Neodiprion lecontei: one gene and its partner. The protein of the gene in region 2 interacts with the protein of the main gene of each other region in a biochemical or structural test. Links are inferred from orthologs where the notes say so. Each region holds a gene or a part of one and is shown on either strand. Other genes may lie near its edges. The genes, in order: mRNA export factor Gle1 and nuclear pore complex protein Nup155.

Region 1 (6,093 bases), on a different chromosome or scaffold from region 2:
GCTATTTTATACGCATACATTCGGCTGTTCGGAAAATAATTTTTCATTTACGAAAATTATCGGAATATCGAGTGAGAAAAGAGTGAGAGAGAAAAACGTGAAATATCTTAATTACAATGAATATACCAATGAAAATAGCCTTTTTGCAGCCAGATTCTGGTCGTAGCGAAGAAACCACATGCATGGGCTTTCGTATTCACCGAAACAACGAATCGTGGCCTCGAGACTCTCGGTTCAACTCTCGGTAACTACGCACCGCTCTATGGGACATTGATTTCTCAGTTTGCATACTCTTTGAGTTTGCCATGTACAAGCAAATTCGTACGGCATACCAATTTCAAGGAATAAGAAAAACCTGTTTCATTTGATTTCGGCAACGCATTGATTGTAGTGGTCGGTGAAAAATCGCTGTTTATGGGACGGTGTACTTTCTGCCACAAAAATGTTAATGATCAGAATAGCATTGAATAATTTTTAGAATAAAAAACACGTCTGTCTGCAGAGTAAGCGGCGTCAATTTTCGAATCACGAAAACTCGCTTTAAAATCAATTAGAATACCATAGGAACAAATGAAAACCATTATCCATCCGAGATTAGTGTTACGGGTATTTATTGTGAAATAGACTGAGCTTAGAGGTATTTACTTTTGTGTCATTGCGAAGAGGACAACACTCCGTGTTTCGATCCGAAATGCAAAGGAGAGGAAAATAAAAGAAGTCAGGGGAAATACACGGAGTGAACGGAACGATAAATTCGTTACTAATGATGATGCAATTTGAGGGAAGGGGCGGACCAGTTAGAAGCGGTAATGTAGATCTGGACGCGAATGACGGGAAAAGCGAGAGTGTCTGTTATGTTAATAAATTCAGTTTATTATCAATCACGTATAAAATTGAACGCGATCGATCGATTCGATAACACGAGAAGGGCGCGGGCCTGTCTATGGGCGTCCATCCTCACGTTCGAAAATCAAAATATTTCGTCTGCAGCGTCGGCTGCTGTTCGAGGTAGGAGTCGCCGCCGCAATCGGCGCGCTCACATGACCCCCGCACTGGCTCGTTCGTAATTCGAGTTACATAACCACCCGGCTAATTTCATGATATAACTACGTTGTTAAACTGCAACAAAACGCACGGGGTGCACTAACGTAGTTCGAGAATCACTGCGTTACGTAACGGTTAGCGTTAAATGTTGGATTCGGAGGTTGGACCCGGTTGAGACTGGCTGAGGTAAAATTGAAAAAAAAAAAAAAAGACGAGGAAAACGTATCAACATTTTTCGCTCACCCTTCGCGGTCGATTCCTCCTTCACGTTCCCATTCACTATCGGAATCTTTTCTGTCCCGTTATCACCGGTCGTCTCCACCTGCGAGCCGAGAGCCATTATTTTTACAATTTTACAACCAACCCTGCACTCTCACACCTTTCCTCCAACACAACCGCACAAATACAGGAAATTATTTTTCACGGGGACCGTCGTGCTCTGCTCCGCTCCGCTGTTGCTGCACGTGCGTTTCGACCAGAGTACAAAGTCTAGTGCTTTCCATTGGCGCATTCTCCTCGTTCCATGTTCACATTACTTCTAGATCTTTGTGGCAATTCGTTTCTTCAAGGTCAGCGTTGATTGGACGGCCTTCGAGCTGCCACTCTTATAAAATAAAATTGTCACTTGATCTAGGGTCTTTTCAAATATCACTAGAGAATAAAAACGCAGCCGTGAACCGGTGGCGACATCTGACACAAGCAAGACACATTAACATCAGTTGGGTACATTTCCAAACTAACAGTGTGTGTGGTTGTTATGTTGCTAGCGTTGTCAAATATTTAACCTATTGTATTTATTAACCTACAATGTATAAAATATAGTTTTGTTGAAACATGTGCTACTGATATTATGAAATAAACATCAGCTGACTATGGGGAACGTATTGATACCCCTGCGGCCAGATTGTTCAAAAATTTGATAGAATAATGAAACGGAGGACAAACGACTCCTAATTGACGTATTTATATAACTTTCTTTGGACTGTACAACGATATAACACATTTTGCAAGAACAATGAATGGCGAAACGGTATGAATAATAGTTAATGAATTTTTGAGTTGAAAATTGTTAATAAACCATTTATACGTTAACAAACTTATGATGCATATATAATTCTTATTTTTAGCAGCATAACATGAATGACATTACCTCAGACTTTACGTGTCTCAAAGTATCCGCTTTGTGTAAGGCGTCTCGCATATCAGACGCTGTTCGGCACGTCACGATTGGTCCAGACTCTGTCTTGATTCCTGACTATCATGTGGACAACGAGAACATTGAAAATGAGCCGAACAACGGTATAACCAAAGAGGTTAGACCACAGCCGAGGTCACAAAGTCCAAAAATATCAACCAGAAGCGGTATAACTTTTTCGATAAAGAAAATCTTGCTCGAAAATGAGGTGCAACGAAGAGAAGAAGTCAAAGTAAGAAGCTTACAGCAAATTTCCTTTACACTTTTGGCCAAGAAACAAAAACCAACTTTGCATTCATTTTTCAGCAAAACATGCAACGCCGCCTTCAGAGTATGATGAGGGCGGAAGCTGAACTGCGAGAACAAATGGCTGTGATTCGGAACACGATGATAGCTGACAGAGAGCATCAGGAAAGTCTAGAGAAGGATGAAATTGCCAGGCTTGAGGCTGAGGAGGAACACGTGGCTCAACAAAATGAAATTAAAAGGAAACATGAACAGCAATTACATGCACAGAGGATATTGGAGCGGAAAGAGAAATTGGAACGGGAAGTTGAGGAACAGAGAATAAGGAATCAAGAAAAGCAAGTACTGTTTGAGAAAATGCTCCCGCTCCATGCAAGCTTTACGTCGACTTACCAGAACATCAGCACGGTATCAAAGTCCTGCAAGGACAGGAATATCCTTGGACCTGCCTTTGCACCGCATTCAGTCAAGCTGAAGGAGCTCAGCAAACGCATGGAAGGACTGCTCGAGCGTGCTAAAGTGAGGTTTTACTGTAGTGTAATTGCAGGATGCTTACTTGATCTGTCTTTTCTATTTTTGGACGTTTTGTGCTTCTTATATTCAATTTACCAATTTCTTTTCACAAACAGTCGAGTAAGAGCCCTGTAATTGCTCTATAATTTGGGACATTGACGACTGGTAACTAATGGTAACTGTTTTAGTCAGGCGAATTGACGGAAGAAGATGTTAACACTGCAGAGAGTCTTGCAAAACATAGTGAGAGTATCTTGAATACCTTCAAGCAAGAAATAGGTTAGTAGATACTAATATCTAAGTACAAACTGTTTCACATATTTTACCTCCTATGTTTTCAGATCGAATAAATGCTACCTACGATGCAGAAGTAGCTCGCAGGGAAGAGGAAGTGAGACAAGCCCAAGCGCAGATGCAATTAATGGCTTCTAAGGCTCAGGAAGCTGCAGTTCAACCTGATCAAAGTCCAAGTGAGACCAGTATTGAAAGTACTGGTGTCGAGGGCCAAATCACAGCAAATGCGTCAGAGGAGAATAGGGCACCAGAGACTACAAATCAGACACATTTATCAGTGGAATCAGTCGTCCCAGAGTCTAAAACAGGTGAGTGATGTAATTGCTATTTCATGTGGATAGCAGCTTTCGGTAAGAAATCACCTTGCTAATCTTTGTGTTTCATTTTCAGACGATCTTCTTGAGTTTGTTGACAAGGTTTCACTGCATACTTACCTCGACAGTCAACAGCTACTAGAAAATCATAAAATCATGTGCTCGCCTCTAACGCAATCGGAGAGTACAAAGAAGTTCCGGTTTGAGTGTCAAAAAGCAATAAATATACCGGTGAATGCGATTTCCGGTGTTAGCAGAGAACATCTTATGGACAAATACGAAAAGCTGCATAATTTGCTGGGCGGAAAGCCGCCGACTAATGCAAACCAACATCCGCAAGGCATACAGTTTTGCAAGCATACCTTGGCCAAGAAATTTGTGGTACGTTAAATATGTCGATGAAAATTTACCTTCTTTTTCATTGCACTACAACTTTCCACATATCTAAACAGAATCAAGGCGAAGCTCTAGTCTCCAGCAAACCGGAAATGGCATTTTCCGTTGCAGCAGTTATCGTGGCTCTCTGGAACGACTATCCGGACTTCGGTGAACTACTTTTGGCCTATTTCTACAAAACGTGCCCTTACTTAGTTCCGATATTCCTTCCTCAACAACAGGGCCAGTCTAACGAGGACTACTACAAATCATTGGGCTACAAATATTCAGAAGATGGAACCGTCGAACGGCAGGACAAATTCTTGAAGAGAATGTCTGGCTTGATGAGGCTTTATGCGGCTCTGACTGTAACCAGGCAGCGAAAGCTCGTCACGAGTTCACATCCCCATGGCTTACAAAACGCTTGGAGATGGTTGGCTGCTATTTTGAACATCGGTAAATGTTATTCAACGTTTTACCTGACTGTATTACTGAAAGTGATGTTTTCTTTGAATATTTGTTTTCAAATACGATTTTCACTTACAGAACCACGACCTGACATCTGTGCAACCTTGATACTCGACATGCTTGAAGTGACTGGACACGCGTTGTGGAAAACTTATCCAAAGCAATTCCCAAAGCTGCTGGCCTTACTTATCACCCAATATTATCCTCGTATGCATAGCATCGGAGGTACAGCCGGTGGTCCTCTTGCTCGGTTGGAACAGTTTTTGAAAAATTCTTTGACCAAAGGCTCTATACCACCCCCCGATGGTCAGCTGCCCCAAAATTTTTGGTAGCGGAGTAATTTTCCGAAAGTTTTATCACGGTGGAATCACGCGTCGTTGTTCGAAATTTCCGATGCTTCAACTAGAGATTGTTATTGTGCCGCTGCTTTTGTTGATTAAAAATCACAAAAAATTTTGGATTCTGTACATCGAATACCGTTAATAATCGCGTCACAGCCGTCGCGTGCATAATACTTGACCATAACGTGTTATGTGAATTATCATGTTAGCTCATTGTCGTGAGATTCTTTTTAGTGTAAATTAATTAGGCGGTTCATACAAGATTGACGAAAGAGAAGACGCGTCGAATTTGTAACAAATTTTTCCAATTTATTCAATTAGATAAGTTTCTTTTTTTTTTTTGATACGAAGTTTAAGCCACGAGTATACGTACACGTAATGAAGAATATGTTCGATTTAATATCATCCGTCAATTAAAATTTAACTGTGCTTTCTTCGATTTGATCGCACAGAAGGGCGAGGATGTTGGTCCGTCTTTTGCTGTATAACGTACCATGTACTTAATATAACAATGACAACCTCAAGAATGTGTGATATTGAACAAAGAGATTAAAACAACAAGTACAATGTAAAATATTGAAATCAAACACTACTACAATCCTTCGATCAACAAATTATCATCAAATCTAATAGTAACGAACGGTCGTTGGCACATCCTCTGCGCCTTCGTCGGTCATGTAGGCGTCCAAGGAATTCGACGTAAAGCCGATGACTCCGTAGGGAGAAAATCGTTCTGTCCAATGTTCGTTTTTCATCGCGGAGAGCAAGTACGATGATATTTTCTTCCTCAGTTCAGCTGTGAAGAAAAAATCGGAGCTAGATATGTGAAATAAGTGTAAAATGGGTGAAAGACAGGTGGCTATCAAGTAAGCGTTCGAAACCGCAGAGCGAGCCTATAATTTAATTCCTGTTATTATAGGACGAACGGCGCTTTACGTGTCCGAGGACGCGACGATGACTCGTCATTGCGTCAGCAGTGACGTAACCACGTGTCAAGGCGGCCTGGTGGGCCCTGATGTTGTCTTTTTATTATTATGATCCTCTTTTTTTAGGCGTTAGTCAAGATCTCAAGTCATCCGGTCAGCTTCATTCGATTTACTATTCAATTATGCCGCAACGGTGAATTACGCAAGCAATTTCGGGGATGCTGAGAAGCGGTTCGTCTAGCTGGCTCTGCGTGCATCGTTCAAACAAACCTCATACCTGAAACTGACTTATTGACGTAGATCGCGTACGGAGGCAACGGGCCAAGGCTCCCCAAGACGAAAAGGGAACCGATGCTGGGCGTCCGTTTTTGGTGAAA
Region 2 (5,222 bases):
ACAGGTCTTACTTGAACCAGTATTATAGCACCCTGTAAAAAGCACAGCAGTTTTTTAAAATACAGTCGGCATCAAACTGCATAAATTTATTATACTTACGCGTGCATGGAATAGATTGAGCGAAATACCTGTGCTGTTAAAAATATGAATTTACGAGGTGCCTCCATGTGCTGCCTGACTAGTAGAGGAGGATCTCCGTGTGGATTAGTTTGTTTCTCAATATGAACAACTGTTTCTCCAGGGATCTCAGCCATGGCCCAAGCAGGGCTATCTAATGGCAAAACACTCTGCGTTTCAGCCAAGTAGTTAGTGAATGGGTAAGCATCGTTACTCAAGCACCATGCCGTTTCTGTATCTCCACCGCAGATTAGAAGAAGGGTGCCTGAATATGAAATATAATAGTGACATGAAGAATAAAAATGCGGTATCTAACCTGGCACAGGAAATTTCATTCACCTTTTCTATAGTGTGCCATTTGAACTTTTCTTGGTCTGGAAATGGGAGCATTAGCTGCATATCCTGGCGGAAGTCTGACGTGTATCAGTTGGAGACAATGTGGTCTACTAGACGGATTTGCAATTGAACTGCAGGTCAAATAAAAGCGCGTCCCGGTTGCTGCAACGGCAACTAAATTAAGATGGATGGATTCTGATTCCGCTAGGGCAGATATGCTGACAAGAGGTCGGAAATTGTTGCTATCCAGTGTTCTGCAATGTCGAATAATATCGTGAAATACTTAATGATGCATCCACCAACTTTAAGAGTAATAGACACGAAGGTTTTTAAAATTATAAAAGTAAAGAATCTTACTTTACAACATGGACAGCATTTTGGACCAGCGAAGCTTGCGATACAGATGTAATTTTTGATGCATTTCCTTTGTCTATATCCCAGACAGCTATGGTACCCTTATCACCGAGGGTGTATAAAATGTTTCTACTATCGTCAACAGATATTTGAACAATTGCTTCCTCTTCAGACAAGGCAACTGTGACAAACGATGGTACCAAAAAGGATAGCGGACCTTCGGAGTGGTTTATTTTTTTGCAACGCTTACCGAACCATGAGCTCTCAGCCTATGTGAATAAAGCAGTATTGAAAAATAGATGGAAGAACATATGGCTACACACTAAGAATGGTCTATCGGTCACCTGGTAATATATCTCGTAAAGTGAGCCATTTCTGCCACCAAGAAATATTCGACCACTATTGGTATTAGCTATTGTTGTGATAGCTATTCCATCAGTAGGGACTATGAATATTGGCTCAGGTACAAGCTGCATTTCTCCCGGTGTTCCTGGAGTAGAATGTAGATAAGTTGAGTAAACTATTTGACATGTGAAGTGTGTTTAAGAAAGAAAAAAAGTTCGACAATTACCATCATTGGTATCCGAAAATGTCACACCGAGTACAGATATTTCGATCGTTGTGGTCAGAATCAATAAATATTTGACATAACTCTGAAATATTCCTGGTTTCGGTTTGACCAACCCAACACTTATTATTGTCTCATTGAGCCCGTCAAAATAAGCCACGTCAGCCCTGGAATTTTGTACTTGCGTCAAATAGGATGAACTAGATAAGCTTGATAAAAAATTTTTCTTACCCATTTTCGTAAGACCAGACATAAATATCACTATCGATTGTTAGCCAGGCCTTCGAGATATCGGTGAATAAGCCCATCATACAATGACATTGCATATCTATATTTTTTACTAAGGGTGAAACAGGCATATTGAAAGTCAAAACCTATGAAATTGTAAATCCCACGCCTATAAAATATTCATTGTTATTTTTTGAAGGATACGGCCGAAGTGCTCCATCACTTCAGATGGCAACGGAACTTTGCCATGCATTCTCATCTGATTAATGGTTGAAAAGCTGATGGAAGTGCCGCTCAAATTGGGATAATCATGATCGTCAAGACCACTGACTGTTGGACCACCTGGAAACAGATAAAGTGATTTTCGATTACTATTTGTTTATTACTATAACTAATAATGAGGTCTTCTGCGTACTTATTACTTTGCTATAGTCACCTTGTGCGTTGTAGTGCATAAGATTTATTAGGGACGGAAAATTGCTATCGGCTGTGATGTGTTTGTCGAGCATTTTTCCAGCCATCTCCAATGCATCCAGGTGGATCTTCAGCGGCTCCATTGTTATACAATTAAGTGCTGTTATTGCTGCTATTGTTTATATCTGAAATAAATTAAATTTGTATTGAACAATGTATCCATGAGCATTGCAACTACACAGGTGATTTTGATATATAACCGGAATAGAGGCAGACCGTTTACATTCTCGAAGCGACAATTGATTGTTATTCAGAAAATATTTGGTGTGTGAAATAAATTAGAAGTTCAATTGAATTAGGAACCAGAGGTGATTAATAAATTAAGACGAAGACAATAGAAGTGGATCAGTTATAATAATAATTTATTCAAATTAATAAGTTAATTCATCTAGACCGCTGAACGAATGGAATCAAGTACTTGGAATTGACATTTGAGGTTACCTTCGTCGCATGTCGTCAGAACGGTAGCTCGGACAAGAATAATAAAAGACTTTTGAATTATTTTAAAGTATAATCGTTTACTAGTTCAACTGAGAAACCTTTATAGGTCAAATGCTGTTGTTACTCACTTAAGAAACCGTTGTTTATAGTTTCACCCTAAAGTAGTGTTGGTGCCGGCTTTGGCGGGTAAGTACAGTGATCGAACGCAAATGCATGTAAATTTGATTTTTCCATACGTGTTGCGGAGATATGACGATCGATTAATTATGAATTATTCACAGATATTCAATGATCTCACACAACCAATAGATATCACAATTCGTAATCCGTTATAATCGTTGCTTAATTCACAGCCTAACCTCACGCACGAGGGAGCCATGCACAATGGCCGCTTCTTCACTCACGCCGCTACAGCTGGTTCGGCGGTTAGCCAATCACGTCACAGCACATTATCATCAGCCAATGGCGTGCATACCAGCTTAGAGGAGGAGATTTCAATTTCGCATTGTGTACTGAAACATTAATAAATTTTGAAAGATTCAGACCCACTTAAAGTTAAGAAGAGTGATGATGTATGTACTTAGAAGAAAGAGACTTAGTTTAAACACAGTTCTACTGAAACATGTAGCTGCATCGTTGACTGAAGTATATATCTTCGGTTAACGGTTCCATGAAAACAATACATGAACAAAAAACGTGATGTATTATAATATCTAATTTATGTAACATATGAACTTTCGCTAGCTTTCATGCTTATAGAAAAATAGAATAAGTTGATTAGTGCGTGTATAATGTCTCACTACCAGAAACTCATGCATCGGATTCTAATCATTTGGTAAGTTTAAATAAATGAAAAGTATCGATACAAATACAGCGGCAATTTTTCGGTAATAAATAAGGGAATGCTGAAGTCTCTGATCAGATGATCACACAAGATGTATTTTAGTGACAACAATTTCGAGTCTGATACGTTTTATATTTAAATTATATATAAAGGTATCTTATTCGTATAAGTCATATAAAAATTTCGATACGAGTGGCGGCTTACATATTATGTTACAACACTTATAGCTTAATGCGTTTATACGATTAGTTGTAAATATTCATTCCTTGGCCAGCTTCTGTTATGCGCCGATTCCTTACGAGGCGATGTTGTATTCCTGTTGAGTCGTTGCCCAGGTGCCCCACGATTCCCAGGTGTCGTCAACGGATTTCAGGTCGATGGCATCGTCCTGTAAATAAAAATTGTATAAAATAATCTCCAACTCCGTAGAATGTGAAAAAACATCGGTTTTCAAACCCGAATTTCAAAAGAAGTGAAATGACTTCTTTCTTTCACATATCCGATCACTGATGTCTGTGAGACCAATATCAAATCACCTTGAAAATGAGATTGGATTTGCCATCCCAGTTTCCGAAAAGTGAAAAGAGCTCAGGGCTTTCAGCGTAGGTAGAGCTAGCGTCTAGAATTCCATGGATGAATTCACGGCGAGCATTTTCACTCCTACTACCAGAGATGACGATGACTCGCGGGGGTTCGACACCGAGATTGCACCTTTTACCATCTTCAATCGGGGCGCGACCACCATTTGCACAGAGGAGCTCGAAGTCCGATCCCTTTGGAATTTGGTCGGGCGTGCCAAGTTTATCTGAAAGATCAAATGAAAAATGATCGATTCGAGCGAGTATGCAAACACTCAAGTTCCGCGGTAAAAACCCTCGAAGCGAACGAAATTCTCACCAAGTTGAAACAGCGCCGTGTAAGAAACGAAGGCGACATCTCCGTTTCCGGCAATGAGACACCTGTGTAAAGTAAATAAGAGACCAGTGAATATCAAAAAAGTGAAATAATCGCGAAGTGGATAAACCACCCGTAATATGCAATGGCGTACCTCAGTGCTCCCAGATCGCCGTTGAAGGCTTCAGCTTCTATGGGCTTACACTTAGTCTCTTGGATGATCTTGTCGGAGCCGGAAGCGATGTTTCCGGCACACTGCGAGCAGAGTTTCGATTGCTGAGGTGCTCCGGGTGCGCAACTTCCGGAAAAGAATTCCGCCAAATCGTCAGGGTTTGTGATCTGCTTGGCTGCCTTCAGCGCGTGAACGGGAGCCGACCATCCAGCAAAACTGCCCTTGTAGCCGTTGTGGCAGGATTTTTTGCCCTTCAGGTCGACTAAACGTTAAAAAAGTTTGAAAAAATTACTGTCGTGACTATGTCACGTTGTTGAGACGTATCGTAACAACGGTATGATCAAACATATCCATACCCAAGTTGTTGATGGAGCTCGTCTTCTTCACGACGGCAACCGCCGGTCTTTCACTTTCTTTCGTTGCACCTTCGCCGTACTTTTCAGCAATTATAGGTTTCGCGTCGTACTCTTTCATTGCCTTGTCCACCAAACCACCATCGATTGAGACTATGTCGGCTTTGCCGTCTTTAACTGACTTCAGACACGTATCCACGTCCTTCTCAAGGAGACATTCCAGCTTGGGTCTCACATCCCTGTCGGGAGGCATAAATTATGACGCAAATATCTCAGGCAATTACCAAATACGAATTCTCAAATTTCTAATCGGCATACTAGGTATAATTGCAAGATTAAAATCCAATTAATATATTGCACATCGACTATAAACGAAAGTAATTTAACTTAATCATGGTATAGTTACTGTAAAATGAACTTCAATTCCAGCAATAGCACATT

The links.
Region 1: the proteins of nuclear pore complex protein Nup155 (region 2) and mRNA export factor Gle1 form a complex in vitro, tested with the Homo sapiens proteins (2 studies listed by BioGRID). The link is inferred for Neodiprion lecontei from reciprocal best matches to the Homo sapiens genes NUP155 and GLE1.

Annotation. Positions count from the first base shown.
Region 1 is NC_060264.1:4,404,206-4,410,298, forward strand, and holds mRNA export factor Gle1, read left to right. Parts: upstream 1-1,764; 5' UTR 1,765-2,059; coding exon 2,060-2,074; intron 2,075-2,171; coding exon 2,172-2,471; intron 2,472-2,545; coding exon 2,546-3,004; intron 3,005-3,186; coding exon 3,187-3,277; intron 3,278-3,339; coding exon 3,340-3,600; intron 3,601-3,682; coding exon 3,683-3,987; intron 3,988-4,058; coding exon 4,059-4,437; intron 4,438-4,527; coding exon 4,528-4,781; 3' UTR 4,782-5,416; downstream 5,417-6,093. Other genes in the region: clustered mitochondria protein homolog, read right to left, coding at 1,288-1,384; uncharacterized protein LOC107227322, read right to left, coding at 5,417-5,586, 5,994-6,093. UniProt on the Homo sapiens protein: Required for the export of mRNAs containing poly(A) tails from the nucleus into the cytoplasm. May be involved in the terminal step of the mRNA transport through the nuclear pore complex (NPC).
Region 2 is NC_060265.1:27,705,854-27,711,075, forward strand, and holds the start of nuclear pore complex protein Nup155, read right to left. Parts: upstream 3,287-5,222; 5' UTR 2,647-3,286; exon of another isoform or gene 2,519-2,646; intron 2,203-2,518; 5' UTR 2,161-2,202; coding exon 2,040-2,160; intron 1,946-2,039; coding exon 1,808-1,945; intron 1,704-1,807; coding exon 1,607-1,703; intron 1,543-1,606; coding exon 1,379-1,542; intron 1,298-1,378; coding exon 1,152-1,297; intron 1,077-1,151; coding exon 811-1,076; intron 708-810; coding exon 457-707; intron 383-456; coding exon 129-382; intron 33-128; coding exon 1-32. Other genes in the region: transferrin, read right to left, coding at 3,658-3,750, 3,899-4,167, 4,260-4,321, 4,411-4,690, 4,785-5,020.